5 linked regions of the Kluyveromyces lactis genome follow. The protein of the gene in region 1 interacts with the protein of each later gene in a pairwise test. Links are inferred from orthologs where the notes say so. Each region holds a gene or a part of one and is shown in the gene's direction. Other genes may lie near its edges.

Region 1 (5,873 bases):
ATAGTACTATTATGTAAATGTATCATTACTGATTATATCATTTGATATTGCTTGGTTGCATAATTGGTTGAAAACTGACGCCGGTTCACGTGACCTGTCGTATCTCCGGGTAAGGTAATTTTTATCCTCGAAAACAGCGGCATAAAAAAAAGAAATTCAGAAAAAGGTTTGTCAATGTAATTCTTGGCTCATAATGTCAATACCAAGGTGATGAGATGAGATTATAAAAACTGATTCACGGAAGCAAAGGTTTGATATAGGTTCTGCTTGGCTAAGACAGACCTAATTGACTAGTATAATTACGGAATGCATCTGGAGATATACTGTGCAAAATGAGTGATGTTGTAATAGAGCACGATATCCATGTGTTCGATTCGATACTCCGAAGACTACCAGAAAAGACACAAATATTGCTTAAAACACTTCCATTATTAGATGGAGTGACAGTCCAACTGCTTCGGTTTCTCTCTGCTAATTCACTAAGAACTATCCTAGCTATAATATCAGATGCCAGTCCAAAAGCGTTTCCTCTAGAACAAGACCTTTATCATTCTCTGCTAGCATTATTCATAAAGCTCGTATCACTTTACAACACAAAGCCTCAACTGTTGAGAGTATCGCATATTTTCCCAGGTGTGTGGCATGACCACCATCCGTCACCTTCTTTTATACAGACACACGAGAGGTACATCCTTTTAGTTCTTCGAAAGGTTAACATATGTTTGTTTTTGTTGACTCTTTTGAAAGAGTTGCCCTTTGGTATCAGCTTCTTAGCTGACAACTTCATTGAGGTCTTCTGTTTTAACGTTGACAGTTCAAAAGTGGAAGACCTTATCACTGCCAACAGGTCCAGAATAGTTTATGGAAGACTATTAAAACCGCAGACGGTTTTATACCTTGATTTGATGACACAGTACTACATCAGTGCGTTGGTTTCATCTTCGACTCCACACACCAGCAAATCACCACTATTGGATCAAGTTTTCCCCGACACTATCCTGGATGATATCAAGGATAAGACTATAAAATATGCTGGCAAATATATGCAATTGCAAATACAATGCACTGAAACAGATTTTAAAGAAAGATGCAAGCGACGTAAGACTGCCATTCTCGAATGCCCAGACTTACAAAAATTGATGAAGAAATACGATTGGGAGGAATGTTGTAAAGAAGTGTTTTCTTACGGGATTAAGCGGGCAGATGTCTTGCTCTATGGTAGAAGAGGCAAGGGATTGAGTTCTGTTCCATCTCGTACACCAACACCTGTAGAAACAATACCAGCTCCGGTACAGAGCGAAACACTTCCAGTTGAAGAGGGGGAAAGCGATCTAGTTGAAGAGTTGCCCAATACTATCAATACTACTGAAGCTGAGGTAGATGTTAAGAGTACAGTGCTAAGGACCAATGAACCTCAAAGAAGAATAGACTTACCCGTTAAGCCCTTCAAGACAAAACCTAAGCAAAAAAAGATGTGGACACAAGAGGAAGAAGATTGTTTGAAATCCGGTTTGAAACAGTGCGGACCTGCATGGGCCAAAATATTATCTCTGTACGGTCCTGGAGGAACGGTGTCGGAATCTTTAAAGAACAGGTCCCAAGTTCAACTGAAGGACAAGGCAAGAAATTGGAAAATGCACTACTTAAAAAATATGAAACCAGTTCCAGAGTACTTGGAGAAGGTGACAGGTGATTTAGAAAGAGGTCTGAAAAGCAAGAAGAAACCCAAATCCAAGCCCAAACCAGCGGTCTGATGTGAGCGTCGGGAAAGCGGGACCAATTTAGCATATATAAACTCGTAGTTATCATTGAATGCATAGTCATAGTATCATCTCGTCCTTGAATAACCTTATGCAGCAGTTTTTCACAACAGGATCTATTCGATTCCCTAATCTTTACATTTTTTTGGTTTGTGGCCAGCAAGCTCTTTCATGTGGGAACATTAGGTATATCATAGTATCATTGCATCATGATAGCAAATTCGACTACATGTTGCATTCGAAGTTAGGACTCTAGAACAGTGGTTTTTTTTGGTTGCTACAAGCCACACATCATTAACCGTTCCTGGTACCGGAGACCTTTTCCCCTGTCACCGAAAACTGAACGCAGTAAATGCCATAACGCCATAGTAAATGTATCTAAGTAAGGTGTGAGAGCTATGTGATAGTCTGCGTCTGTATTGAGTGTTCGCGTAGGCTTCCTTTATTTTATTTTTTCACCTAGCGTGGAGATCGTCTTGCAAAGAGCGACAGTTTTTGAGGTTGTCATTTCACAAAAACTTGGTAAGATCTGTCTTGTTTAAGAGAGGCTTTTCTAGGCATCATGTGAAATATACAACGCTGTTTCACTGGGGAGCTTCGACACTGGCCCTTTTGAGGATACAATTCCTCATGCTGTAGAACGAGACGCTAAGGAAAGCACGCTTGAATATGTGCATTGATATCTTTTATATTACTTTTGCTTTTATTTGGAGTGTCTAAATCCATGACTGGAAGTTTGAGCTGCAATTAGCAATTGAGTTACATAGCGAACTAAATAAGGCATTGGTTCATTAGGATTTAACAGCAGTACAGCATATACATCGAAGTTGACAATCTGTTAAACAAGTGAAATAGCAGAGAAAGATTGCCTGTACAGCTTTGGTTCGGAGGTTTAATGTTGTTTGCAAAAATGACATGACTTTTATGCATGATATATATATACATGATGGAAGAAATATGGTCGTTTCCTTTCGCGGCGTTAATGGGCATTTTTGGTACATTGCCTTGTTCATATTTGTAGTAAATTAGTTTGTTGTGAGTAAATTAGGGATATATATATATATGAAGGTCCTGGAGAGGAAATCAGCAGAAAGGACGAAATCTGTTTCAGAGTGCCTCTTAATCGAATCGCAGATTCTAATGCTGGTGATCATTGATTGAAGTTTGCAAAGTTCGATACTTACTCATTTCATTTCAACCCCCTTCCTTTCCTTATTACAGTGTCTAGTTGCAAACAGCATCCAAGATGGAAGTCGATTCAGCAGAATATGCAATTCGTCCACAGGAACTGATTGTGCACGATTACCATTATCCCAATATGAATTCAGCTGGTACAGTGGAGGACAAAATAAGGACAGCAAAGACGGAGTGCAAGCAGTTATACGACCAAATCAACAGAATTAAAGGCAAAATTCAAGACACTCAATTGATGAACTTGTCTCACGGCGTCAATTCATTACACGAGTTAAACTTACAACCGGTTCGAACTTTGAAAGGACATAATAATAAAATCTCAGACGTAAAATGGAGCCAGGATTCGGCAAGCGTACTCAGCTCGAGCCAAGACGGGTTTATAATCATATGGGATCCCTTCACTGGGCTTAAAAAAAGCGCTATCCCCTTGTTATCCCAATGGGTCTTGAGTAGCGCTATCAGTCCCAGCGGAAATCTGGTTGCAAGTGCGGGTTTGGACAATCATTGTTCAGTGTATCGTGTTTCAAGAGATAATAGAATACAACAGAATGTGATTTCCATCTTCAAGGGCCATACCTGCTACATTTCAGCTACGGAGTTTCTTGATGAGAGGACTATTTTGACTGCAAGTGGTGATATGACATGCGCTATGTGGGATATTCCTAAAAGTAAAAGAGTTACGGAATTTATAGATCACTTAGGCGATGTCTTGACCATGGATTTACCACCAGCAAACACTGGTCGATATGGTCATAATTTCATCACCGGAGGATCGGACGGGTATGCGTATCTATGGGATGTTAGACAGCCGAATTCAGCCCAAAGTTTTTTCATCAGTGATAGTGATGTTAGTGCCATCAAATTTTTCAACAATGGAGAATCCTTCATGGCGGGTTCAGATGATGGTAGCGCTAGGTTATTTGACTTAAGAAGTGATTGTCAGATATCGACGTACTCATTTTCAGACGGTTTACTTCAGCAGCACCAGCTTCAACAACAACATCATCCTCATCCTCATTCTCATGCTTATTCTCGTATTCAAAAAAATCGGTATGGCTCATCCTCTTCTTCAACTTCGTCTTATCCAATTGTAAAAACACCTCAATCTTTGAATTTCAAGGAAAGTTGTATCGAAGATCAAGGAGTCATATCAATAGATTTCAGCTCTTCTGGTAGATTGATGTACGCTTGTTATGCGGATTACGGGTGTGCAGTATGGGATATTATCAAAGGAGAAATGATTGGCAAAGTTGATGGTCATCGAAACAGAATAAATGCCGTCAAGACGAGCCCTGATGGAATGGCAGTAGTGTCTAGCTCATGGGATATGACCCTAAAAGTTTGGACACCGGTTCATCAGTGAAATGATGAACTGAGAATGGTAATGCATATCGAAAAAAGCCGCAAAATAGCCCTTATAATACTACTGAAACCGCTCAGTTTGGCTCTTGTTCATCGCAGTAAGTGAAACTTTAAGATGCAGCTGAGGAAGCCTCCACCAACCTGCAAATTTTATTGAGCAGCTGGTTCGGAATTTGAGACAATAATATTACAATGTCATCCTCTTGATGACGTCTCTTAGCAATTTCTTCAGATACCGGAGGAAATGTAACAATTGTATTAATTACCTTTTGAATAGTATCAACATCAGATACCGATATAAGATTAATAGCCCTTTGTAAGTTTGTAACTTGACCCAAACTTATTTCATCTTCATTGTAAATTGGTACACTGCCAGAATTTAATAACTCTTCCCGCAGTTTGGTTTGATGGTAGGGAAACCTTCCCTCATAATCAACATTGTACGCATTATTATCGAAGGATAGTTCGTGATGAAAAGTGTAAGTTGTCGAGCAAAATTTGACCTTTGCTATTATCTTTAGCTCAAACTCACCCCAACCTTGCTCATCTAGGGTGAAGGGAGGTTCCGTGAGTTTTCGTAGTGGTCGTTCAAATGTGGGATGAAGGTGATAGGTAACATAATCAAATAAGGTGGCCGGTTGCTCGTTTCCTTCTTCATCTAATATAAATAATTGCATTCTCCATTTCCTTGTCGGCAGTTCGTAGACTTTAGGAGCATCTGGTAAAATAATTTGTTGAGTTTTGACTCTTATTGTTCGAGGAACGTAAGGCTGATATGTTTGTAAACAACCACTTGTTAGTGACAATGCTGCTAGTGACAAACGTTATGGCAATATTAGATTAAAACATACCATTACAAAATCTTTTTCCATTATGTTAAGTGTTGACTTGATGCCAATACAGTTTTCTATCGACGGCTTGCGGACCGTTGTGCTACAACAATAGTAAAACATAATGGAGTATTGTGATATGCTATCATGTAGAATTTGATTCAAACTATTATTTTTTTCAGAGATAAGCTCATCGGTAGGAGGTCGACAATAATTAAAGTCAAGTCCAAGGGCGAATTCAATCAAATATTTCAGTGCAATTTTCCCTAGGCTTGATTTGTCTATTCATTATAGTGTTCATTTGGTACTTTTTCTGCAAGCAGTGCCTGTTAGTGGAGATGTAAGTTATAAAATACAACTACATAATTGTAATGGTTAAATTAGATAAACATGTGAGAGGTCCGGTTACTCGGTGTTTTTCTTGACGTATTCCCATAAACTCTTCAATAGACTTTCAGGCAAGCTATATAAATCAATAACGAACTCACCTTCTTCGATATTGTTCGTAATATTCATTTCTGGAGTTTTGTTATCAGTTATCATTTGTACTACTCCAACCAATGTATCCTCGTTTAGTTTTGTTAAGCCAAATGCTAACTTTTCCAAGTTCACAGAGCCTTTCACTGTTGAAGCGGAGGCGGTCTTGGCTTTTTTCGTTTTTACATCACCATTGACAGTAGATGCTTTTCTCTTGTCACCTGGAGTGGTGGCAGCTGTCGCTGTTGCA
Region 2 (6,071 bases), on another chromosome or scaffold:
GAATGGTAATAGATTAGAAGAGGATTCCGATCCTTTATCGATATTACCTACTTTGTTCGACGGCGAATTAGATGAATTGGATGATTTGGAAGAAATTGACTCCGAAGAAGAGGAAGAAAGTGAAGACGAAGACGCCGAGGAAGAAGACGTGTGGGAACCAACACAATTTGTTAAGGATGAAACCGTCGATGAATTGGCATCCGAATTGGCAAAAACTCATTTAGAATAAATAAACTAATACTTATTGATCCTTGCATAAATGACGTCCTACATTCCAATTTCCTGTTGTAATGTAATAAATAGCTAAAACCTGAAACAGAACTCATTATATTTCTCGCAATACCATCAACCCGGAATGTACACATACAATATTGTATCATTTTTTAGACTATCTCCACGTTCAATTCAAAGGTATCTATCAATTTATCCTTAGCACACCACTGGGTTTCTAGCCAACTTTCTAGTTGTTTGGGTTTCTTTTTAGTGAGTTTATCAACATCATGGTACGATGCGTGGATGCATAGTATCATTGGTGATTCCAACGACCATATGTCCCATAGAGCTGGAATTGTTTGCTCCAACTTATACTCACCCATTGAGTTCAACGTGATCTTGTAATAAACCAAAGTTAAATCTAGTAACTTCATTGAGTCACGTAATATCGGTTCTGTCGGAAGAATAAGGTACTCCAACATGCGACACCATTTTCTGTCATTGCTGTTTGAAAAAGCTTTGATCAGATTTACGAAAGTACCAAATCTGGGGTATAGAACGTTATGCAAAACAGGTAATCCTTTGTATTTCAATTTCATTAACTTTCTTTCAATCAATTTAACTTCTGGTGTGAAGATATTCACCTCGGGAAATATTACCAAATTCTCAGGCCCATAAAACTTCTTAATCTTTGATACCGAAACGTTGTCATTCTCATCATGCCTGAATATTGTCCAAAAATGCTTAAAACTGGGATACTTCATTAAACGAGTCCAACCTGCGAAAATTACATTTTCAGCTCCGAACTGGGATTGAATCAAAGTATAATCGATAATTGATCTATGGTTGCTTAGTATTAGTTGGTTCTTACATTTTGTGTTGATTGTTTCCCCCTCGTAAATAATTTGGATATCTTCTCTTAGCACACTCCATATAATGAATTCATTAATCCATATATTAACCATGGTTTGAATCTTCTCAGTTTTCATAATACCCCTGTAATAATACTTTGATGAAATGATTCTGGACCATTGATTCATATACCATATCCACCCTGCTAGCACTGACTGAAGTATGAAAAGTATAAACAAAAACCATGAATAGGCCACACATTTTATAAGATGCTTGTCTTGTATCGAAAACCATGGTCCCGTGACATTTGTTTGCAACGTACTCAGTACAGACATGGTTTACTAGTTCTTCATCCTAACAGAAAACGATTGTAATGGATCGTTTTCTAGCTAGTTAGGAACAGTTTCTGTGTTTATTCCACACTGACACAGACTTTTTAACCATTTTGTTTTGTCGCATGACAAACAGTTTCAAGTGAAAAATAGGAAAACGTAAACAGTACGACCATCGTTTAGTTTACATTAGAAAAACTTGTCACCGATACATTGTAATTAGAATGTAAATTTTACGATTGAATTAATTCATAGAGCCTCTAACAGAAACCACTACCGCTATAACTGCCTTTCTGGTTATTCTGCATCTTCTGTATTCTTTTCAGATCTCATCAATTTTGCTCCAATCTCATTATCGATGATGAAGTGAAAAATGAAATATTTTTTGACTAAGCTCATCTCATCACTTCGCATACATCGAAAAGTACCTGAAAAGTAAGGATGGCAGCCAAGACGACATAATGATTGCCAGATCAATGATAAACAAGCCACTTCCAGTCATGTTAAGAACTTCTTTGCTTCATCGTCAGTTGAGAGGTATCAGGCTACCAGCTGTTTTTAGTTCCAGTAAGTTTGCGAAGTACAAGTTAATCCCACCACCTCCAGGCGGAGTTACCGGAAACGTAAACGATAACTTACCAAAGACAGAACCGAATTGGTTCCATGGGTCGTATCACTGGGATTATGAACGTATCACTGCAGTGTCGTTAGTTCCTTTGACAATGGTTCCTTTGTATGGAGCTATGTCTTCTGCTACCTTTGCATCAGGTTTCCCCTTCCCAGTGATTGATTCTCTATTGGCCAGTACAATACTAATACATGCGTACTTAGGTATAACAAGTTGCATTATTGACTATATCCCTAAGAGAAAATTCGGATTCTGGCACAAGGCTGCTAAATTCGCTTTGGCACTTGGAAGCTCCTTCAGTCTTTACGGAATTTATGTTTTAGAAACGGAAAATAACGGACTAATAGATTTGGTCTCTACTCTTTGGGATAAAGATAAGGGGGATTCGAGAGCATATGTATTTGGAAGGTTTTAGTGTGGTACTCTGTCCAAGCAATATGTAATTCATCGGAGAATTGACCTCCAAGCAGATTAGACTCTCATTTATTTATTATCATTATTATTTATTAGTGCTACATCTAGTGTTATTTATTCTTACCATAGTCTTAATTTAGTCTTTGAGTCTGATGATTCAGCTGGTCCTTTTCCTCGCCAAAAGTTCAAACGGGGTAAAGCAATCTAACTTTGAATAGACCATTTTGGGTATTTTGCTGTTCGTTTTTTTGCCCATGATTACATGCGTTTAAAGTTGTTGATCCAATCTCATTGTAACTGCCTTTTTTGGCAATCACATAGATTACAGCCGGTTTGACACAATTTAATGAAATAAAATCCTGAATGCAAAAGACTTTGCATTCGTCTCTGCTGAAGAAAAACCGCCTCAAGTTGAGGAGATTACTAAATGTGCTTTGGGTTTGAAACTTATTGAGGTTTTTTTTTTTTCATTCCTTCATGAAACTTATTCATGTCAAGAGAACATACTTCAAAAGTGACTATATAAAGGCACCTCTCTGTGATACAAGGTGAGATTGAGAGACTCAATGTTGATTTGACATCCTTCAAATTTTTACGTCAAAGTACCCTTAATGTTTTGACAATAAGCATTAACTTATTTAACATGTCAGAAGAGATACCCAGTTTGAACCCATTGTTCTACAATGAGACATATAATCCATTGCAGTCCGTCCTAACATACAGTTCAATTTACGGAGATGGGACTGAAATAACATTTCAACAGCTACAAAATCTTGTCCATGAAAACATCACCCAAGCAATTATTTTTGGAACAAGGATCGGCGCTGCTGGATTAGCGTTGATTATAATGTGGATGGTCTCTAAGAATAGAAAGACGCCGATATTCATAATAAATCAGAGTTCTTTGGTTCTTACAATTGTTCAATCTGCTTTATATCTATCATATTTGTTGAGCAATTTTGGAGGAGTTCCCTTTGCTCTAACTTTGTTCCCACAGATGATAGGCGACCGTGACAAACATCTTTACGGTGCCGTGACTCTAATTCAATGTCTATTGGTTGCGTGTATTGAGGTCTCGTTAGTCTTTCAGGTAAGAGTCATTTTCAAAGCAGATAGATATAGGAAGATAGGAATCATTTTGACTGGCGTCTCCGCTAGTTTTGGTGCTGCAACTGTAGCCATGTGGATGATTACTGCAATAAAATCTATTATTGTAGTGTATGATAGTCCATTGAACAAAGTTGACACATATTATTACAACATAGCAGTTATTTTACTTGCATGTTCAATAAATTTCATCACTCTTCTTCTATCAGTGAAACTTTTCCTGGCTTTCAGAGCTAGGAGACATTTAGGTTTGAAACAATTTGACTCATTTCACATTCTACTCATCATGTCTACTCAGACATTAATAGGTCCATCGGTTTTGTATATTCTCGCCTACGCGCTGAACAATAAAGGAGTTAAGTCGTTGACTTCTATTGCTACATTGCTTGTAGTTCTTTCCCTACCTTTGACATCTATCTGGGCTGCTGCTGCAAATGATGCACCAAGTGCCAGTACTTTCTATCGCCAATTCAACCCTTACTCTGCACAAAATCGTGATGATTCATCATCCTACTCTTATGGTAAAGCCTTTAGTGACAAATACTCTTTCAGTAACTCACCACAAACTTCGGATGGTTGTAGTTCAAAGGAACTTGAACTATCTACACAGTTGGAGATGGATTTAGAGTCTGGCGAATCTTTTATGGATAGAGCAAAAAGGTCCGATTTTGTTTCTTCTCCAGGATCAACAGATGCAACAGTGATTAAACAATTGAAAGCTTCCAACATCTATACCTCAGAAACAGATGCTGATGAAGAGGCAAGGGCATTTTGGGTGAATGCAATTCATGAAAACAAAGATGACGGTTTAATGCAATCGAAAACCGTATTCAAAGAATTAAGATAAACACTGTGTCTCTGGTTTCTAGTTTTTTACGTTCTGTTGAGCTCTATCATACCAATCATATATTTTAGTAAGGTATACATATAGCAGCTCATAGTATCTGCTGGTTCTTTAATTTCATTTAATTATACTTTAGAATTACTCTTTATCGATTAGTTTCATAATATTGTTAGGAAGAATAAGACCCCATTAAGGATATTGGAAATGTGGTAGACCCAGTATAAATTTCTTATGCCGTACATGAAAGAATAAAAGGATAAATATCCTAGAATTGAGACAACGATCAGCCAGTTCATTCTGTTCTTGATTATAGGAATATTGCACTGACTATTTCTTAATGTTAGAAGCAATGTTGGTGCTATGGCTAAGAAATTATGATGCGATCTGAAGGCCGTCTCCCACCTAATCGCAAAATTACGCAAGAAGACGACAACTATTGGAGCATTGATTGGTATCATGAATATTGTTAGCATTAAGAATGACACGTTATAGTTGTGTATATTGGAATATTTTGCGTTGTTCCTGTTTGTAAAGACTGCCAGCTTCATGCAGTTCCACATTTGAATTAAGCTTACAAGGATGAATGCGAACTGATATGGGACATAGACCATGACTCCCAAAGAAATAAAACATACTCCCAGTAATTGCCTGTTATTAAAAAGTAGTTTATGATGTGTCATATCGTTAAGAGGATCAGGAAATGTGATACGCGTATATCTTGTGATTGCTGAGGAAATTTTAATAACTGCAAATTCGATGACATTTATGAGTCTCAAAATAATGAATAATAATGCGACAGAGATTATGAAAAAGACTGGTCCAATCCACCACACAAATGTTTCACGTAGACCCAGCATATAGTTATTGTTCAACATATGAGAATCGCTACTTGGTTTGCTCAAAGAAATAGGGTCTAAGTAATGCAGCAAGGTCAATATGGCCTTATGATTGATTGCTATCGGTCCTACTGATAAAAAGAGGAATATTAATAGACTATGATTATTCAAAACATTCATCAAACCAGTATCAAAGCTGATGAATTTACTATCAGGGCTGTCATAGTAGTAAAACTGGTAGCATAAGACTAAAGCAATTATCGATATTGGAATTGATGCAAAAGCTAATCTGAATCTGATATAAAGCATCTTCAATGTTAGTTTCCAGTTTATGGATAGTCTTAAAGAAATTTCCTCTCCAGGTGGGATGAAGAACATCAAATTTAATGACTTGTCTATGGTATCATCAAGTGGTATGAAGGGAGATATATTGTGCATATTGATTTCATGAGAACTTGAGGCAGCCAATAAATGCCATTTGGTTTCATATGGATTATTAACATACTGTCTCATCATCGGTCTGAACATGCTATCTATTTCGTCAGAGAAAGTTGTTTTCAAATTGAAGGAGATTAGCGAGGACCATAAATTTGGGAATGCTAGGCCATGGACAAAAGAATGTTTATTTTTTAAGGACATTCTAAAAGGGAATAAAGATAGTTTCCACAATCCGTCGCTTGCAGTTTCAATGCTCTTATCATCGCTATACTTTGCTAGAACAAAGTCTTCCTTCTTTTTCATTGAGCCCTGGAAAACTATTATTTGGAAACCCTGCAATAGAGAGCCATTTAATGAGATAAAGCGAAAAGGAGACACCGATTCTCCCCATGACGAGTCAGTTGGGA
Region 3 (6,789 bases), on another chromosome or scaffold:
TATAGTAGTTAATACCGAAAAGAACAATAAATTAGGCAAACCATGCTATCTTTGAAAGCTCAATCCTCTGTGGTTGGGAAGTCCAGCTCTTTGAGATTGGTTAGAAACTTTTCTAAAAACGTCCGTGCTTTGTCCCAGGTTGCTGATGAAACTAAGCCAGGTGATGATGACCTAGTTCAAATTGATTTGCCAGAAACCTCTTTTGAAGGTTATCTTTTGGATGTTCCTGAATTAAGTTATCAAACCACCAAGTCCAATTTGCTACAAATGTACAAGGATATGATTATCGTTAGAAGAATGGAAATGGCCTGTGACGCTTTGTACAAGGCTAAGAAAATTAGAGGTTTCTGTCACTCCTCTGTCGGTCAAGAAGCCATTGCCGTTGGTATTGAAAACGCTATCACTAAGCGTGATACCGTCATCACCTCTTACAGATGTCATGGTTTCACCTACATGAGAGGTGCTGCTGTTCAAGCTGTGTTGGCTGAATTGATGGGTAGAAGAACTGGTGTGTCCTTCGGTAAGGGTGGTTCCATGCACTTGTACGCCCCTGGTTTCTACGGTGGTAATGGTATCGTTGGTGCCCAAGTCCCATTGGGTGCTGGTTTGGCCTTCGCTCATCAATACAAACACGAAGATGCTTGTTCTTTTGCCTTGTACGGTGATGGTGCCTCTAACCAAGGTCAAGTTTTCGAATCCTTCAACATGGCCAAGTTATGGAACTTACCAGCCGTCTTCTGTTGTGAAAACAACAAGTACGGTATGGGTACCGCTGCCGCAAGATCTTCAGCCATGACTGAATACTTCAAGCGTGGTCAATACATTCCTGGTTTGAAGGTTAACGGTATGGATATCTTGGCTGTTTACCAAGCTTCCAAGTTCGCTAAGGACTGGACTGTCTCCGGTAACGGTCCAATCGTTCTTGAATACGAAACTTACAGATATGGTGGTCACTCTATGTCTGATCCAGGTACTACTTACAGAACCAGAGATGAAATCCAACACATGAGATCTAAGAACGATCCAATTGCAGGTTTAAAGATGCACTTATTGGAATTGGGTATCGCCACGGAAGATGAAATTAAGGCTTACGACAAGGCTGCTAGAAAGTACGTCGATGAGCAAGTCGAATTAGCTGATGCTGCCCCAGCTCCAGAAGCTAAGATGTCCATCTTGTTCGAGGATGTCTACGTTCCAGGTTCTGAAACTCCAACCCTAAGAGGTAGATTGCAAGAAGATACTTGGGATTTTGCTAAGAAGAGCTTTGCTTTCAGAGATTAGAGCAAGAACGAATTAGGTAATTGAACGTTAAAGTTAACTTCTTTGCGTTTATCCTTTTTTTTATTCCCATCTCTCTACTCTTCCCTTTTCGAAAGACAACTATATTCCTATAAACTGCCCTTTCACAATATTATGCTATAAGGTTCACAAGATGATACTATTTGTATAGTGCATCTGCTATTTTCCACCAATCAATATTAAAGTACCAAAATCATAAAAAAACACCTTTTAGATACAAGTGTTTTTTATTCATTTCATTCACGGTATGGTTTCTATTCAGATAACTGTTTTTTTCGGTTTTAAAACATGAATGTTCATCTGTGACTTCTCATTCTCTCTCTCTCCATGAGACTTCGTTGATGCTTATTCTCAATGCCGAGAACATTATCTGGTTACTGATGCCTGCCATTACGGATTACCTGCGTTTTAATTTCTTCCCAAACAAAACAACGATACAGAATTTTCTCATTACTCCCAAAAACTACCTCAATAATTCGTGCTACAATCTTCTTTTCTTACGTTGATCTTGCGCCTGTTATAAACATGATTTATTGTGAACTAGGTTTTGTAAACTAATCTGACATTGTTCTTCACCATAAATTGTCTCTCCCCTTTTTGGTTGCTACGATACAATGTCGTCAAATGCGAAGCCGCATATTAGACAGATGAAAAGTTACAATACCTTGTCCATCATTGAATCATCTACTCACCTTTCTAATGACTGATCTCACGACGACTTACCCCAATAATCATCTCATCTCTATTTACTAGACTTACATCTAGTCTATATATAAATTGTATTTACTGAATTAAAGTATCATAGATATACTAGAGACAGTTTTGTCACCCTGGTTCCAGAGTCACTGCAGGACCCTACTCATCGACTTCCTAAAATGTACACTTTGTCCTGATTTCATCACTATCTCTGTTTTCATTTAAGGGAAGAAAATTATTCATTACTTAAGACCGTTGATGTTTAAATCTGAAACAACCTCAAAATGGCATCATGATGAAAGGGGAAAATATAGTGATTGCAGATTCCGGGAGATTTGAGATTCTTTTAGTGAATTCTCCAAAGTAGCTACCATGATATCGTTACTTATGTGCTAATCTATCAATTGAATAACTGAACAATTATTGTTCAAAGTATTAAGAATACATCCAAAAGTCTTCAAACTTTAAGGAATTTAAGAGTAACACTACGGCTGACTAGAGCATATTAACTATTACTTTGCTAGAAATGTCTAGAGGTAATACATCATCAATGAATTCTCAGGATATCTTATTTCAATTGACTAATGTGGGATCCTCCCCGGTGCCTAAACTGGATACAGGATCCACTTCAGGGTCCAATACCTCATCGCCAAGAAGATGGACAGAGCTTTTTTCTAAGAAGAGAGTGAAGACGCCTTCAGTTGGTACTCCATCGACTGCATCATCCATGATATCTTCCTTCTATGATAGTTCTCCCATAAGACCAGTGTCAAAACAGCATCCTAAGCACCTCCTGGTAGATCCGATCATGCCGCCTCCACCCATAATGCTCTCTCCCATTGGACATGAGACCTTAGGAAAGAAGCCCACTCGAAAAAATGGTAATAAGTCTTGGAAAAATGAGAGATGTTGCATATGCGGAGATCTTTGTTCGTTCAAGGGTTCTAATGAGAAGGTAATCCCTTTGGAGTGTAACCATATGTGTCATGAAGATTGTTTAATGGTGAGTTTACGACCTCTTCCTCATAAATCAAACCTGTATGATGCCTTGCCGAAATGCGACATCTGTAGTATGTCATGCATACCGGGACAGGAAGATATGCGACAGAAGGTAAGGTCACACTTGTTAACCTTACCTGATGACGGTGAAAGTGTTGGACTCGAACCGTATAATCCTCAAGAAAACTACGAGCGGATAAAATTGTGCGATGCAGACCTCTTACCCAAGCACTCAGGTAATGATGAAACGTTTCCACATTTGCAGACTACTAGAACAACTGCAAGAAATAACGATATCAGGTTATCTTTTGCATTTTCTTTGAAACCAGGGAAAACGGTTACTCCATCTCTTCGAGATTCCATCCGTTTGCATAGGAGTCGCAGTATAAAAAGAAGATCCAACTTCAGAGGAAGTACGGTTTCTGGCTTGTCGTCCATCGTATCATCTTCCTCGAAAGATGACTGTCAACTGCCTTCTTTGCACGTTCAAAGGCAGTATTTCATTCAAGCGTTTTTGAATAGTTTTAGCGAAGTCAAGCCTTGGGAAATTGATGCTAAATATGGACTCTTACGATTGATAGATAATTTTTTGATATCATTAGATGGCATAAATTTCCAACACCAGGTTTGCTACCTATTTTCGGAATATTTACTAGTATGTCGACCATCTCCTGCTACTTCGGCAAATGTTCTTCAATTCTCGAGCTACCGTTGTTTCCAATTGAATAATCCTCCTGAACTAGATTTATTAGATGCAACTACTCTTGAATCAAAATCTCGTTCTGGGGAAAGAATTCTTATTAAACCTTATGGGTTGGATACAAAAGCTTTAGAAAAATGGATAACAGCTCTATTTGATCTTACTTTGCCGTTCGGAAATTATGATTTCACTTCGATCAAGGTTCCCGAATTTGTGGCTTGCATTCCTAGCACCAATGATACAGGTACAATCATTGTCAGACGACAGAGTACCTTAAATGAAACCCTTATCCCTAAAACAATTCGAGATTCATCCGTGTTAACCTCAATATCATCCATTTTGTCCATCAAAAGAGCAACACCAAATGAATTAAATTTGGTGTTGCAATTAGATAAAAGAAAGACTAATGAAGATAATATCGTCTCGATCAAGAACGTCATTTTAGCTTTGACTTGGAAGTTTTCTACTTTTAACTGCTGTATTGTTGATGTTGAAGGAATGGTCATCAATTGCGGAACTGCTAACGATGTTCTCAATTCGTTGGCTGGTCCGATAAAAAGTAATGGTAATCAACCATTCTCTCCAGATCTTTTACACCAATTATGGTATCGGCAAAAACAGAAAATATGCAAAAATGTTGGGGTTGTTGTTTTATCAAACTCATCCATGGAGAATGGTAAATCATGTCTTTTTAGCGATTATCGAATATTCGCTGATGCAGGCAAACGGCATCCAAATGAATTAAAAATAAAAGTAGGCTTTCTGAATGTAGATTATAGTGATAATATCAAAGAACTCGTTGAAATTCAGGACTGGAACGAATTGCTTGAAGCTGTTGCCTATAGTTTTAATTTGAGCTTTGATGATGATTTAGATAGTAGTGACTGTGTCAGTACCTCCTCTAGTGATTTTGAAGTGGATTCAGTTCCAGATAAGAATAGAACATTCCGGCTTTCATCACCTATATCCTGGGAAAATCACGTACAGGCTGACTTGACAGGATCTATGAATGGTATTAGTGAATCTATTGAAGACCGGCAATCAAATCATATGTACGACTATTTATAACATTTTCACTCTCTCTAATTCATCATATATTTTTACCATCCACAAATCTCTCTCTTGCCTGGATCGACACATAAAAATCATCGATTTTCCCGAGACTCCAAGTTTATCAACAACGTGAAATTTTGAAGAGTCCGGAGTTTCTGGTGTTATTACTGAACTTAACATTATCCTTTTGTTTGGAAACCACATAACAAAAGTCCTACTACTCTCTTCATCCATGCTTTTCCATCCGTCAGCATACACTCTTGAGAGACTATGAGAACCTGGATTAATAGAGTTAAAGTCTTTGTCTCGGTCCAAGAGTTCCTGTTCACTGAGGGCACCTGAATATAGATAGCATTTCTCTATCGGAATCGTTAAAAAATGTCTATACTTTGTCGAATCTTTCGCGTAGCCCCTTATGGATCTATCGAAACAGTGGTACAACATTATAAACCCAGGAATCAACACCATGAAATGCTTGTTGAATACTGAATGTTTTCTGGATTTATGATAAATTAATCCTTGGTGTATTATAGGACGCGACAAAGCATGAGCGCTGACGTTGTAAATATGATCGTTTGTTGTTGATAATTCTGTCATCCATTTCGGAACAAATGCAGATATGTGCTTTTCCTGAAGTTCAGTTATATTGAAGGTGTTGAGATTCTTTATTTTCAAATCCCAGAGAAGCTGTCGATCAGCAGCTAGTCTTCGCTTCCAGTAGAAGGCTATTTCACGTAGTCGTGATAACCACTCTTGACATGTCTCCGGATCAGGCGCCATGAGTAGTTTACTGACATTTTTACCAATTACTAACTCTATAATAGAAGACTTCGTTGCTTCAAGTGTTTGACTATTCTTCCATACCATATTATTTGCTTCATTCCATATTTTCATGGTCTTAATATTGAAGCCCGATGCATCTAAAAGCTTGATATCTGTACAACGAGTCAAGTCAATGCAATTATCCGCTTTGAGTATTAGTGATATTTTTCTCAGGAATGATCTACTAGCTCTTGCGTCGTGACTTTCAAATTCCGCAGTTGTTATATTCTCGTTTAACCAAGCGAAATGACCATTCTCATCTAATGGATATGGATTATCTTCGTACACTCTAGGCATGGTTTCAATTAAGTCATCTAGCCTGGCTTTATCTAATACTACTCCGAATGGATCGATTACGTCATCTTCCGGTAGTGGTGGTGTAGCCTTAACGGATCTAGTCCTAAAAAAGAGCCCGTTTGAAGTGAACCAGTAGGAAAGCTTAAAATAGGGATGTGAGAGTTTATATTCATTTTTATCGCTGAAAACAATATTGTTTTCAGATAAAAAACCCTCAATTGGCGAGGGCTCATTAATGACCTTAACGGTATCAGTGTGATTATCGATGGGTTTCTGTATGGATCTGGGGTAAGTTTTAAGCCTACGATATTCAAATATGTGAGATTTTCTCAAAACAAATGTTCCGTACAACAAATCAGTTTGATTGCCGTAAGACCATTCAATCCTATCGTAATGTTTCCAACATAGTCCCATTAGTATATTGGAAGCATCCCATTTTTTAACCTCATGTAAATATCCAAGTTGTATAAGCGTCTCACGTATAACTAGCTTCAAATATCTTAATATTGGAAGTTGTGCTACACGGTATCCATTTTCTAGTTGGAATATTTTCATCACTTCCTCCTCTTCTGCCGCCTTCTTTGCTAATTTCCTTCTTATTATTTCTGGGAGATCTACATTTAGTGATAAATTTACTATTGGAATATGGATGTCAATGTCACAAGGTTGTGCTGCAGGACCAATGCTGGATCTCAAAAATACCAACCACCTACTAGATGATAATAGATTATCACATCGGAATATGAAAATTTTCAAAGGGGAAAATTGTTTCTTCGATGTTGCTGTTTTCGTTTTTGCATTATCCGCAAACCTCATTTCTTGTGTTAATAGGTCATCTTGTTTGACAATGCAAATACTTTTGTCCAAAGAATTATAAAATTCAACAAGGCATTTCTTATCTAAATCAAACTGAATCTTGCAAT
Region 4 (5,556 bases), on another chromosome or scaffold:
CAGGGAAATACCCAAAACAAATTTCAAGAAAATGTACATGTTATCTAATAGGGTGGTATCAATATTTGGCAAGTCACCAGGAGGTTGAAGGTTTTGAAATGCTATTTACTGTTTGTGAAAAGGCTTACAAAAACAAGAAAAGACATACCAAGGTCATGAACAAATCTTATCAGAAGAAAAAGAAAGCATTACCTCAATTTTTAAGTGACACTGCCGATCGAAGAGCTGTCACCGCTGATGAACGGTATGGGATTCCAAGAATTGACCTTGAGAAGGAAGCTCCTAAGATTAAACTATTGATTAGCGACTCCTTAGAAACCGCAGTGTCTCTATCGAATGCTTTGTTGGCAATTCCAGCTCATAGTAAGTCCACCGACAGTGAGCTGTGTACGGCCAAATTCGTTCAAGCAAGAGCATTGAGAAGGAAGGTTCTACGTTATTTGCAACTGATTACCGGTGGTGAACTTTTAGGTGCTTTACTCCATGCTAACGAGGAGTTGGTCAATGCATTGATGGCATTTGACCAATTAGCCGAAGAAGGAGACATGGCTTCTTTGAATGAACGTGACAGTGATGAAGATGATCAAGAGGACAACGAAGCTTACATTTCTGATGAGGCATCAATACCTTCGTACACATCTAGAGGTGGAGCCGCTCAGCCCAATGATCCATTTAGCGATAACAATAAAATTAAGAATTGATGCGATCTCCTGGCGGAGCGTAAAAAACCGTAGAGCCATCTGTTTTAATTGTGTAATATTGTACACCTAATATAACTAAGTGAGCTAAATAATTGCAAACCTACAACTATTTGCCTAATCTGGTGAGCACTAACCTTCCTTGAAGTTCAAACTGCAACTGTTGACACAATGTCTTTGGTCAGTTGGCAAATTCAAGATTTTCTGCCATCCCTCCCCTTCGAACACATGCCCCATATGACCACCGCATCTACTGCAGCATATTTCTATACGAACCATCCCAAACGATTCATCGCGAGTAAAAGTTAAAGATCCCGGTATAGCATCATAAAACGCAGGCCATCCGCAGCCTGAGTCGAACTTCGTCTCACTCTTATAAATAGGCAAATCGCAATTTGCACATGAGTAAATCCCTGTTTGTTTGTTGTGCAAGTAATTTCCTGTGTTTGGTCTCTCCGTACCCTTATCACGTAGTACTCTTAGCTGTTCTGAAGTCAAACTCGGATTCCATTTACCGGTGCTATTCATTGTTCTGTAAAATTGCTTTGATAAGTTTAAAGATAAAATCCTTGAACAACTTCTTGAGAGCATCAAAAGTGTGAAACAATTATGGAGTGGTAAAACTTTAAGAATTATACCTATCAACAAAATAATGAAAGCTGAACAATAGATCCGATGGTGATTACAAATGCGAGTTTCCAGTTGTTTTCTCTTTACGATAGCATGGCTCATCGGCTTCTTGCAGAAAGCTAGTTGAAAAAATCCAAAATTCTATAATTTACAGCTTAAACATCTTTGTCAATAAAGAGCAATCTACAAAACGAAAGAAGGAGGTTGATTACGGAAGCAGCAAACCAGTCCGCCCAGTTTTGACCATTACCACAGCTACTTACCAAATAGAAAATATCATAGACTGTAAACGATATTCAACACTATGTCATCTAATTATCCAACAACAATGTCTTGCACTGATGCATTTGATCAGTTAACAGGATGTTTCAGTTTAGGAGGTCAGTTTAGAAATTACTACAGACATGGCCACATGAACGAATGTCTGAAAGAATTCGAGAAATTTAAGTTTTGTGTGATCCATAGTAAAGATCCCGTGAAGGTACAGGAATGGCACAAAGAGCAGTGGCAGAAGAACCAAGAAAGGAAAGGTACCTCCGATGACATTTGGAAAGAAAGAGTATAAACCATGGCCGTTGGAATGATAGATAGTTGTATATTTTCCACACGTATGTCCTGTAAATAAATGAATCAAAGTTACGATTGCATCGAAATACTTCTAGCGCGAATGTAGTAACAGGATTACCCCGTTCCCCAGGAATCTTATGTCAGAATATTCGCAGGGTTCCTTGTCATTTCTTTATGATTTCCGACAATATGGGAAAATCTATATTTAAACTTAATCGATTATTTGAATAAAACCAAGTGATACCAGAAAGTTGATGAAAGGAGATCCGGGGAACAGCTCAGTCTGTGGAGCATATCATTGAGCCAACAGAAGCATATTGATCAGTGGCTAACCAGTGATTCAATTGTGTTTTTACATCTCTTAAGAACAGGCATAGAAACAAAAACAAATAATGAGCGGTACAAATGAATGGTCAACTGAGGAGGTTTGCAAGAAAGTCAAAGCAGAACTTGGATTAACGGACGGAGATACATTCATCCTAGATAGAATACGAGAGAACAAGATAACTGGATCTACGTTATCTGAAATCACACTTGCCGATTGCAAGGAGTTATGTCCTGATAGCATTAGTGCCGTGAGGCTTAAGACATGCATAAACAAATTTGTTGACACGGAAGAACAAGCACCGGAACAAGAATTAGTGTTGACTATGAAAGGCTTACACCAGACGTTAAATGAAAAGTTACAAGAATTCCAATCTAATTATGCGCAACTCAGATTGGATTTGTTGGAAATCGTGAAGAGGAACAGTGGATCTGGTTCAGGTTCCTCTCAGTCTTCTCAACAACTTCAACATCAACCTTCTTCGCAAGATTACTTCGATAGAGCTCCACACCATTCTTCACACACGCCATCATCACCCAAATACAGATCGAATTCCAATCCAGGGCTGCCACCACAATCTTCAAGCACCAGAAATGTTTCATCGTCACATATTGCCACCACACCCGGATCGGCGAATACTCCAGGCGGAGCTGGAGTATCATCAGCTCCAAGTTCAGAACCTATGAAACAATTACGTGCCTCAAAGGAGGATTCATGTGAAAAGGTTTTAAGAAATGCGATGAAGAGGCACAATTTGAATGAAACGGATTGGAGACAGCATGTTTTAGTGATATGCTATGGAGATCAAGAACGAGTTCTTGATCTCGATGAAAAACCAGTACAGATCTTCAAGTCTTTAAAACAACAAGGCCTGCATCCTGCAATTATGTTAAGACAAAAAGGTGACTTTGAGGAAGTGGGAGAAATGGCAGCAACACCGGGAGGTAGGCTATAATGTTTGTTATCTCCTCCTTCATCAACTGGAAAAAACACTTGGCAAGCAACCATAAACTTTCATTTTAGAGCTTTCATGAACGAATAATTGTATTGATAGATTAATTATCTCTTTCTATAAGAGTTACGTATGTTGTACAAAGACACATTCTCAACTATAGTAAATAACAAATAGAGCACCTTATCAGGAAAGTTTTCTCAAATAATTATGTGTACGGGTTGAACCTTCTTTTGGACTTCATCTCCTTTATCTTTTCTTGATCTTGCTTGAATTTGGCTAGCAACTCATTAATTTCCTGCTTCTTTCTTTCACGGACTTGGAATCTATAGAAGTCCTTCTTTGCCTTCTTGTCAACCATATTAGGCATCTTCTTAGGTTTCTCATGCTTTAATAATGGATTTCTGTTGAATATCTTTTTCCTTATGCTGTTTAATGATTTTGTATTCTTTCCTACTACTAATGTGAAACCATCTTCATCAACAATAGATGATTGTACTTCTTCTTGAGCTTGCTGTTCTCTTTGTTCGAAAAGAGCCATATGTTCATGTATATCCGTTTTCAAATATTTTAACGGTAATGGACGGTAGAATGCTGTGAATGTCTCGATTGATGGGGATTGAAATTCCCACAGTATCTGTTGTTGCTTCTTGCTAGAAGAGTATTTCCTTAGTGCTTCCCAACAGTTTTCTACGGACTGCTTATCCACAAACTGTAGTAATGCAGTATTTCTTGGCGTAAATCTTTTCTCACTAGGTTCATCAACACTCATTAAATGAGAAGTCAATGATGATAAGTCAACATCATGTAATCCGAACTCATCATGATAGAGTAGATCTTGCACATGCGAAACGGTTTCATTCTGATGACAGATCTCTTGGAAATTTTTCTTCAAGTTTTCGAGTTGTGTTAAAAGAGGTAGATTAACTAGGAATAAGCAGTGTTGTTCATTTTCCAGTTTTGATTGATGCTTTCTCACAAACATATAATGATATACTTTCGTCGGTTTCTGGTTTAAACTCTTTACTTGAGGTAGTAAAAACGGCACAATTAGGAAGCCATTTTGCATCTGTTCAAGAACCATTCTTTCGTATTGAAAGTGTGTGGAGAGGTATCTTGATCGGTGTATAACCCAAACAAATTCGTTGAAAGTTGTTGAAGCGAATTTCTTCAGCTCATCTCTTCTCATCACTTTACTAACTTTAAATCATAGTTTTCATTACACAACTACTAAATAGTGTCGAGAAGAAAATTTTCAATATAAGACGAAAGTCTTTTGAAGTCACGTGCAACAAAAAGTTGAGTATATAAACCCTTCTCCTCACCCACTACTTGAGAGAATTTGGAGGAAAGATATAATATTTGGGAAATGTCTGTCTTACAACCTTCCGAAGATCATTCACCACCTGATTTCAGCTGTTCAGCTTCTTTCATCAATTCGTACAACTGGGTAACTTGTTCTGGTGACATCTTTTCAAGCAGGTCAGTGGATAAAGTTCCTTCTTCCCATTCACCTCTTGTAATCATATGCAGATAATCCTGCCATGAGGCTAAGAATCCAACAATGTATAAGGGATTGTCAGTACTCTTATGCAACTTGAATTCATTCTTGACATATTGATCTCCCAACTCTCTCTGCATCGTTGGTAAGTTTCTGTGTTCTCTGAGGATTCTACGGTACAATTGTAACGGAGGCAAGAGCGGTTTGTGAGGTTTCCTCGAACCTAGCCGTCCCGCTCTAGTGGTCTGTTTGACAGCTTGCCTTAATAGATGGTTAACCTGCATGTTTAATGGGTTGCTGGTACGTTACGCGGAGTCACAGCTCTATATCATCAATTTATTCAACTCTAGCGATGATGATATGCGGTATCAAGCATTTTCATTAAGATTTCCATTGTTTTTGTATTTAGAAGTCACGTGAAGTAATATTTTGATACTTTGAATATGCAAATCTCTGGGGAAGTTTCATGCATTCAACGCGTGCTTCTGGAGTAAGCTTCTAAACAATTCGAATGGTTAAAGTTTATTCATTTCTATACAAACATAGCATTATTTTTCTTTTAGATATTAAATTCAAATCTTAATAAGTTAGTTCTATATTATTCAAAACCTGATGGTAGTAAGCCCAACTTTGACATCCTGATCTTGACTGCGTTTCTGTGAGCATCCAAGCCTTCGACTTTAGCAACACTCATCACAGCATGACCAATATGTTCTAAACCGACTGGGGTGACCACTTGAGAAGTGATAAACTTCTGGAAAGTGGCTGTGTTCACACCACTGTACTGCCTAGCATAACCATAGGTAGGTAATGTATGATTCGTACCACTAGAGTAATCACCACATGATTCTGGAGTATAAGCACCAACAAAAATGGAACCGGC
Region 5 (7,049 bases), on another chromosome or scaffold:
GGAACTGGATGTTCAATCTGATTCCGAACAATATTGGATGGATTTCTGGACTGCTGTAAAATCCTCATTATTTGATGATATGTCCAACATATCTGGCTTCGAGCTCATTTCCACTGGTCTCATTGATTCTATGGCTAATATCTTTGAAACTGATTCAACGAAACAATCATTCTCCAAGAGGACTTTTCTGAAAGTGTTCGAGGAAAAATTGCCTGAATTTGTGAAGCTACTACAAAATGCATTGTCTAGGACGGAAACCTTTGCCATCCTAGATGCTGGTGCCAGTAGCAACGATTCTCCAAGTGCCTCGTTAATCAAACAGATGAAAATAAGATTAGTTCATGAGCCGGCCGATGATGAAGTGGGAAAAGATACTGTTCCAGAAACTCTTCAAGATGTTGTAATTGCCGTGCATTGCGTTGCATCTTTGAAAACACTTGATGAATTCTTGAAACACAAGATTGTGCAATCGGAATTTTTGACTTCTATCATTCCGAGCATGAGTCGTGCTAATCAACAAGCCAACCCTACAAATGTTGCCAAAGAACTTGAAAACATACAATTTGACTTTTCGTTGAATGACCATCTTTTAGATCAATCGTCAACTATTTACTCTATTATATTCAAAGAGGCGATGAAAGAAGGGTTACCCACAACGAGTATCTGGACTAACGTACCTACTTTTAAGTTCAAGAAATCAGTAAAAAGAAGGGAGTCACATCAATTGCATGTGCTTTACCCCGATACAGCTTTTGAAGGGGCGGATTTGAAGCCTGTCAATGGTATTTTGACAGTTCTACAATGTTGCCAACATAAATCACTCCCAGCATCTATTTATGTGAATCCAAAGATTAGTGCTAAGCTTTCCCGTCAACTTGAAGAGCCACTTATTGTGGCATGTGGGGTCTTACCAAGTTGGGTCCTCGATATCACGAGAAAATATGGATTTTTGTTTCCATTTGAAACTAGAATGAACTTCTTACAGAATACATCATATGGATATGGCAGATTGATCCAATACTGGAGGGAAAAGCTGGCAGATCAGCACCATAGTAACCCTACTGAAAATCCATTGCATCAATTAGGCAGGTTGACTAGACACAAGTTGAGGGTTTCAAGAGACTCACTATTTTTGTCCGGCATCAAAATTCTAAAAAAGTATGGTTCTTCGCCAAACGTATTGGAGATCGAATACAAAGATGAAGAAGGTACAGGGTTAGGACCCACTCTCGAATTTTACTCTTTGATGTCGAAAGAATTTGCAAGGAAGTCTCTAAAAATGTGGAAGACCAATAGTGATACCAGTGATGATGAGGAGGAGTATGTGACAGGTGCATTGTTCCCTGGACCATTATTGGGCACCACCGAGGAGAATAACGAAAAGACTTTGAAATTATTCGAAAACTTGGGGACCTTAGTCGCTAGGTCAATGTTAGATAATAGGATTCTCGATTTTAGATTTAACGCTGTTTTCTTCGAGTTGATGCACAAATGCTGCAAGAATGATCGACTTGACCTAGAAGACTTCGAAACTTGTATCCACCTCGTAGGACAGTTTGATGTTCAACTAGGAAAATCACTCGCATTTTTGTATGATAATCGTCATGATGACTCTATCAAAAACCTTGACCTATATTTCATGCTGCCTGGTTATGATATAGAATTGTTGGAAGGTGGTTCGAAAATCTTAGTTGAATCTTTCAACGTGGAAGAGTACTTGATTCGTGTCTTTGACCAATTTTTGGGCAAAGGCGTAGATATGCAGCTCGCTGCCTTCAGGAACGGATTTTCGAAATCATTCCCTTATTCATCATTGCTAATCTTAACTCCGACAGAACTATCCGATTTGTTTGGTGCAGTTGCTGAAGATTGGTCTGTGCAAACGCTATACTCATCCATTCATGCAGACCATGGCTACTCGATGGATTCTCCAATCATAACAGACCTCATAGATATTTTGTCGAATTTTTCGACACAACAGAAACGTTTGTTCTTACAATTCATCACTGGCTCTCCGAAACTACCTCTTGGCGGTTTCAAAAACTTAAAACCCAAATTCACAGTAGTCCTGAAGCACCCAGATGGGAACATCTCGGCAGACCATTGCCTACCTAGCGTTATGACATGCGCCAATTACTTGAAACTACCAAAATACTCTGATAAACTGGTACTCAAAGATCGTATTGCACAAGCAATGACTGAAGGTTCCGGAGCCTTCCTATTGTCATAGAATATGTATATAACTACATAGAGATGTCTGTAGATCTAACCATACTCCACCCTAACTAAAGATTTCAATACCACATACTTTCGTGACATGTGACAGGATTTACTCTTTGGGATTGGCGAAAATGTTGAAACTGAAATTTAAAGCTTAAGAGTTTAAACAAACGGAATGTAAAGATCAGATGGTATGCATGTTTATAAGCAGATTAGAGAAACGAGCAAGCTCAATTGTTGCTTTAACTGTGGCTTGTGTTAGAACTAGGTTTTAAATTTTATTAATCAGGCTATCTCTGCCGATTTGACAAGTATTTCAGAGAGTAATACCAGGTAATACCATCTTCTTTTGGATCTTTTTAATAACAAGCACACATTATTTGTTTGTTTTGGCGAGAGTGTGATTTTAGCAATCAAAAGACGTTCGTTACACTGAATTACACAACAGGCTCTCGTTTTTAAGTTAGAAGGAGGTGAAGGTAGAAAGAATTTTACAGAGCACGTTTTGTCATTTCTTTCATTGTTTATCTGACTTGATCTTCTATTCTTTGAACAAAGTAATCTAGCTTTTTTTCTGACAGAAATTAACACGGCCACAGCAGGCTTTGTTACTGACGGTTGTATGCTCTAGAAATCATTACAGACCTGTTTGTGTTTTTCGGAATACCTTTCCTTTTTGTTCGGTCGATAGAATTAACCACAAGACATCTTTTGACACAGGCCTTTTTTTTTTGATAGAAGCTACTACACTCACTACTTTGTCTCCATATAATGACGGATACTGGATATACTGAAGAATTGTTACCAGGCACATTTGATGCGCTTTCCGTGAGAGAAAATGGTGGCAATACAGAAAGTGACACCAGTAGCATACGCAAAAGTCAAAATCAAGATTCAAAACAAGAGGATGTACATCGTGAAAATCTTTCAGTACAAACTCTAGAGGATCATACAGAAGTAACGGAGACTAGGGAACAATCTGTCTCAAAAGATCTCTTTGATTTACCTCGTGCACCAGCGAGTTTGGATGTGAAAGGATTACAAGAATCAGACGAAGATCATTACGTCAAAGACCTTTCAGATTATAAATCTATGGATCCAGGGAAACCGGGCACCGTACCAACAAATGTTTCGGAAATTTTTAATAGTAACCAGCCAACTTTGGATGAACCGATACAATTTACAAGAGTCTCTTCCAGTTCTGTGTTAAGTGAAAGTATATCGGAAGGTGATGCAGATTTAATATCGCATCTAGAAGGAAAAGTGGAAGAAGGAAATAATTTGACTTCGAAGGAGACGCCAGGGACAATTGAATCTATTGTTGGAGATAAGACGATGTCAACTATAGAAGGTTCCTCCCAAAATATAGGTAGAATATCTACTGGCGGGAGGATGACACCTGATCTCTCTCTTATGGGCGGGGCCCTGGAAACTTCTTCTGACTTCCTAAATTCCACACAAACCTCAAATTCTCCAAAGATTACAACACCTATAACTGAAGTTGATGCCAATGATGTATATGAGTCCCCGCTAAATGAGATATTATCATCTACAGATAGTTTCAACAAGGCATCGACAGCGTCTGCAGATCATTCGAAACACGTAAGTGTGCATGAAGTAATACCTGAAGAAGAACCACATCCAGAAACAACAAATGAGGATCCTCCAATTAAAACTCCCGTAATGGTGAATAACTTTTTCGAAAATCAAACACCAGTATCAGAATCAAGATCCCCCTTCAGAACCATTTCTTCTCCGTTTTCTTCTCTGAGGAAAAACGTTAAGAGTCAGCATGGGACGCCTGACCACTCCCAGAGGAATTCTAATTCCTCCACCTCCTCTAATGATGTTAAGAGGAAGACCGGTACTAAGAAGAAAGGTGTTTTCTCAACATTCGTTCAAAACATCAAGAGGAACTCACACTCAGAGAAAAGAATTTCTAGCGGAAGCGGTAATGGAAGTGGAAATAATGCATTTAAGATCTCTACTCCTTATAATGCTAAGCATGTTTATCATGTAGGTGTTGACTCCAAAACAGGGGAATATACAGGGTTACCAAATGAATGGGAGAAACTTTTAACTTCCAGTGGCATTAGTATGAAAGAACAACAGCAACATCCCCAGGCTGTGATGGATATTGTAAAATTCTACCAAGATGTTACTGAAAACTCTGGAGAAGAGAAAGTCTTCAAGACTTTCAAAGTAGGAGGTGGCTCTGGTGCAAACATTGCATCTACACCTTCTTTCAGAACCCCATCAACTGCATCAGTACAGAAGTTCGAAACTCCGCAAATGCAAACAGATGCAACTTTTCCGAATGAAAACAATGATACCCCATACTCTAGTAACTTACAGGGTCCGCTGCTCACTAACGATTTCAGTGAAACTGTGAACAACGAAAAGTTCATACCGACTCGGCCTGCTCCAAAACCTCAAGGTTCCTCCACAGTTAGCCGTAGGGTCGAAATCCCTTCACCAATCAATTCGCTTGGCCATGGAACACCAAAAGTGCAAAGAAGTGATACTCAGTCATCAAGCATTTTCTCATTCAAGAAGATGCCAACATTGAAAAGTGAGCAACCATTACCTCCTATTCCAAAGGCTGCAGAAAAACCAGCAAATTTATTGCCTGCAAGAGCGGCTCCTACTCCACCAAAACCTGCAATTCCTACAACACCGGAACAATCCTCAATACCTGCAATTCCTTCCGGGCTTGCTGTGGAAGTGAAAGAGGAATCGAATACTTCTAATGTCCAGACAAGAAAGGCCCAGGAAAAAAAGAGGGAAGAGAGGAAAAGAAAGAATCAACAAATTCAATCAAAATTAACCGAGATTTGCACAACAGGAGACCCAAGCAAACTGTACAAGAATCTGATCAAAATCGGACAAGGTGCATCAGGAGGAGTTTACACAGCGTATGAATTGGGCACAAATGCTTCAGTAGCAATAAAACAGATGAATTTGGAGAAACAACCCAAGAAAGAGTTAATTGTGAATGAAATTCTGGTCATGAAAGGAAGCAAACACAACAACATTGTTAATTTCATTGATTCATACCTATTTAGAGGTGATTTATGGGTTGTCATGGAATACATGGAAGGTGGTTCGTTGACTGATGTCGTTACGCACTGTATATTGACTGAAGGGCAAATCGGTGCCGTCTCTAGAGAAACACTCAAGGGTTTACAGTTTTTGCATTCAAAGGGAGTCATTCATAGAGATATTAAATCAGACAATATTTTGCTATCCATGAACGGAGACATCAAACTAACAGATTTCGGTTTTTGTGCTCAGATTAACGAGGTAAATTTGAAGAGAACGACGATGGTTGGTACTCCGTACTGGATGGCCCCAGAAGTCGTATCAAGAAAAGAATATGGACCAAAGGTTGATATTTGGTCTCTTGGTATTATGATCATTGAAATGATAGAAGGTGAACCACCATATCTGAATGAGACACCACTAAGAGCTCTATATTTGATCGCTACCAATGGTACGCCAAAGCTAAAGGATCCTGGAAATTTAAGTCATAAAATGGCTATGTTCTTAAATTGGTGTTTAATGGTTGATCCAGAGGACAGAGGAACCGCAGCAGATCTTCTTGAAGATCCATTTATCACTGAAATTGCGGAAGAGAACACCTCCCTTGCACCGTTGGTTAAACTGGCAAGGATGAAGAAACTAGCAGAAAGTATGGAAGATGATGAAAACGATGAAGACAAATACGATGAACAATCATAATCATTTCTGTTTTACGGCATTACATGAATTTAAAACTTTATTTTTTCTATATAGAATAGTTGTGTTATTAATATTTCATTCACATTAGGTAGATGTGAGACTCATATCGCTCGAAGATTTATTAGAAGACATCTCCGAATCTTCAAAAATGTCATCTGCACCATTAAAATCTTCAGGGACGGTTGTTTGAACGAAGAAAAGTTGCGCTTCTGTCATTCCTTTATTGAGAAAACCGTAAGTGTTGAACGCCGGTACTTGAAAAGAAGAACCCGTTGTACACACAAACTTGTTATCACCCACAGATATTTCAACAACACCTTTAACAACGAAAAAATTGATAAAAGCGTTATGTGAATCACTAGGGGTCTTTTCTCCATCGAGCGGAAGCTTAAGCATACCGCTGGCAAACCTTTCTTTGTGTTTATCGAATAAAATCGATAAAGTAAATTTATCCTGGTTTGTGCTTGTAACCTGTTCAGTTTGTGCTAACCCAGGAGCAAAAGCCAATATATTCTGTTCTTTCTTCTCATCAGCTGTAACATTGACCTTTGATTGAAGAATACCTTGTTTCAGCCATTCAGCATTTGGATAAGTTCCTTGCTGAATATCTTGAATAATTGGAGCGTTTGGATCGGTAATGTTCTGATCATCCACAGGCTTAATTTTCCGTGGTCGACCTCTAGGTTTACCGGACGGAATGTAGTTATACGGTCTTGTCTTGGTTTTCATTACCTGCTTTTTAGCACGTTTACTTTTCAGTAGTTGCTCCTCTTCTTCATCCTGATCATGATCATACGTGATAATTTTTTCAATCTCAAGGACAGGCTTCTCTGATTTTCTCTTGTACACGATCTTTTCATTTCTCCAGTACTCAAGCGGTGCAACTTTGACTCTATTCGATCTACGAATTCCGCCTTCCGTACTTGGACTTTCGTCTTTCAATAAATCTTTAGCTTGTGTCTGAATGTAATCTTCGTCGGAATCATACACGTCAGATGCAGATTCAATATCTCTTTTCTGTTTTCGTACGTCGCTCAATACAGCATCATCTTCTTCTGAATCGTAATCTGAGCTATCTTCTGAGCTAT

The links.
Region 2: the proteins of STE4 (region 1) and STE2 interact in a two-hybrid assay, tested with the Saccharomyces cerevisiae proteins (2 studies listed by BioGRID). The link is inferred for Kluyveromyces lactis from reciprocal best matches to the Saccharomyces cerevisiae genes STE4 and STE2.
Region 3: the proteins of STE4 (region 1) and STE5 interact in binary tests that used the Saccharomyces cerevisiae proteins (3 or more experiments, as listed by UniProt). The link is inferred for Kluyveromyces lactis from reciprocal best matches to the Saccharomyces cerevisiae genes STE4 and STE5.
Region 4: the proteins of STE4 (region 1) and STE50 interact in a two-hybrid assay, tested with the Saccharomyces cerevisiae proteins (2 studies listed by BioGRID). The link is inferred for Kluyveromyces lactis from reciprocal best matches to the Saccharomyces cerevisiae genes STE4 and STE50.
Region 5: the proteins of STE4 (region 1) and STE20 interact in binary tests that used the Saccharomyces cerevisiae proteins (3 or more experiments, as listed by UniProt). The link is inferred for Kluyveromyces lactis from reciprocal best matches to the Saccharomyces cerevisiae genes STE4 and STE20.

The regions. Positions count from the first base shown.
Region 1 is NC_006040.1:583,283-589,155, forward strand, and holds STE4 (G protein subunit beta), read left to right. Parts: upstream 1-3,006; coding exon 3,007-4,317; downstream 4,318-5,873. Other genes in the region: TBF1 (Tbf1p), read left to right, coding at 333-1,754; KLLA0_D06809g (uncharacterized protein), read right to left, coding at 4,427-4,993; KLLA0_D06831g (uncharacterized protein), read right to left, coding at 5,552-5,873. UniProt on the Saccharomyces cerevisiae protein: Implicated in the a- and alpha-factor response pathway. The beta and gamma chains of the putative yeast mating response pathway G protein play a positive role in initiation of the mating response.
Region 2 is NC_006042.1:2,330,406-2,336,476, forward strand, and holds STE2 (alpha-factor pheromone receptor STE2), read left to right. Parts: upstream 1-3,082; coding exon 3,083-4,393; downstream 4,394-6,071. Other genes in the region: GTPase-activating protein RNA1, read left to right, coding at 1-229; MUM3 (Mum3p), read right to left, coding at 384-1,400; TIM18 (Tim18p), read left to right, coding at 1,859-2,440; BST1 (Bst1p), read right to left, coding at 4,549-6,071. UniProt on the Saccharomyces cerevisiae protein: Fungal class D1 G-protein-coupled receptor that acts as an alpha-factor pheromone receptor performing pheromone-dependent signal transduction involved in cellular conjugation, mating projection assembly, and in cell fusion.
Region 3 is NC_006042.1:1,101,387-1,108,175, forward strand, and holds STE5 (Ste5p), read left to right. Parts: upstream 1-2,521; coding exon 2,522-4,762; downstream 4,763-6,789. Other genes in the region: PDA1 (pyruvate dehydrogenase (acetyl-transferring) subunit E1 alpha), read left to right, coding at 43-1,281; SPO71 (Spo71p), read right to left, coding at 4,757-6,789. UniProt on the Saccharomyces cerevisiae protein: Component of the pheromone signal transduction pathway. It mediates pheromone signals acting between STE20 and STE11. It is absolutely required for pheromone-induced transcription of FUS1. May play a role in cell-cycle arrest in response to pheromone.
Region 4 is NC_006039.1:103,525-109,080, forward strand, and holds STE50 (Ste50p), read left to right. Parts: upstream 1-2,287; coding exon 2,288-3,175; downstream 3,176-5,556. Other genes in the region: LSB5 (Lsb5p), read left to right, coding at 1-701; MXR2 (peptide-methionine (R)-S-oxide reductase), read right to left, coding at 831-1,430; EMI1 (Emi1p), read left to right, coding at 1,633-1,893; RRP7 (Rrp7p), read right to left, coding at 3,381-4,361; SDH7 (Sdh7p), read right to left, coding at 4,568-4,957; HIS4 (trifunctional histidinol dehydrogenase/phosphoribosyl-AMP cyclohydrolase/phosphoribosyl-ATP diphosphatase), read right to left, coding at 5,272-5,556.
Region 5 is NC_006038.1:1,188,601-1,195,649, forward strand, and holds STE20 (mitogen-activated protein kinase kinase kinase kinase STE20), read left to right. Parts: upstream 1-2,991; coding exon 2,992-5,961; downstream 5,962-7,049. Other genes in the region: putative ubiquitin-protein ligase UFD4, read left to right, coding at 1-2,230; MIF2 (Mif2p), read right to left, coding at 6,046-7,049. UniProt on the Saccharomyces cerevisiae protein: MAP4K component of the MAPK pathway required for the mating pheromone response, haploid invasive growth and diploid pseudohyphal development. Links the pheromone response G-protein beta gamma subunits to downstream signaling components.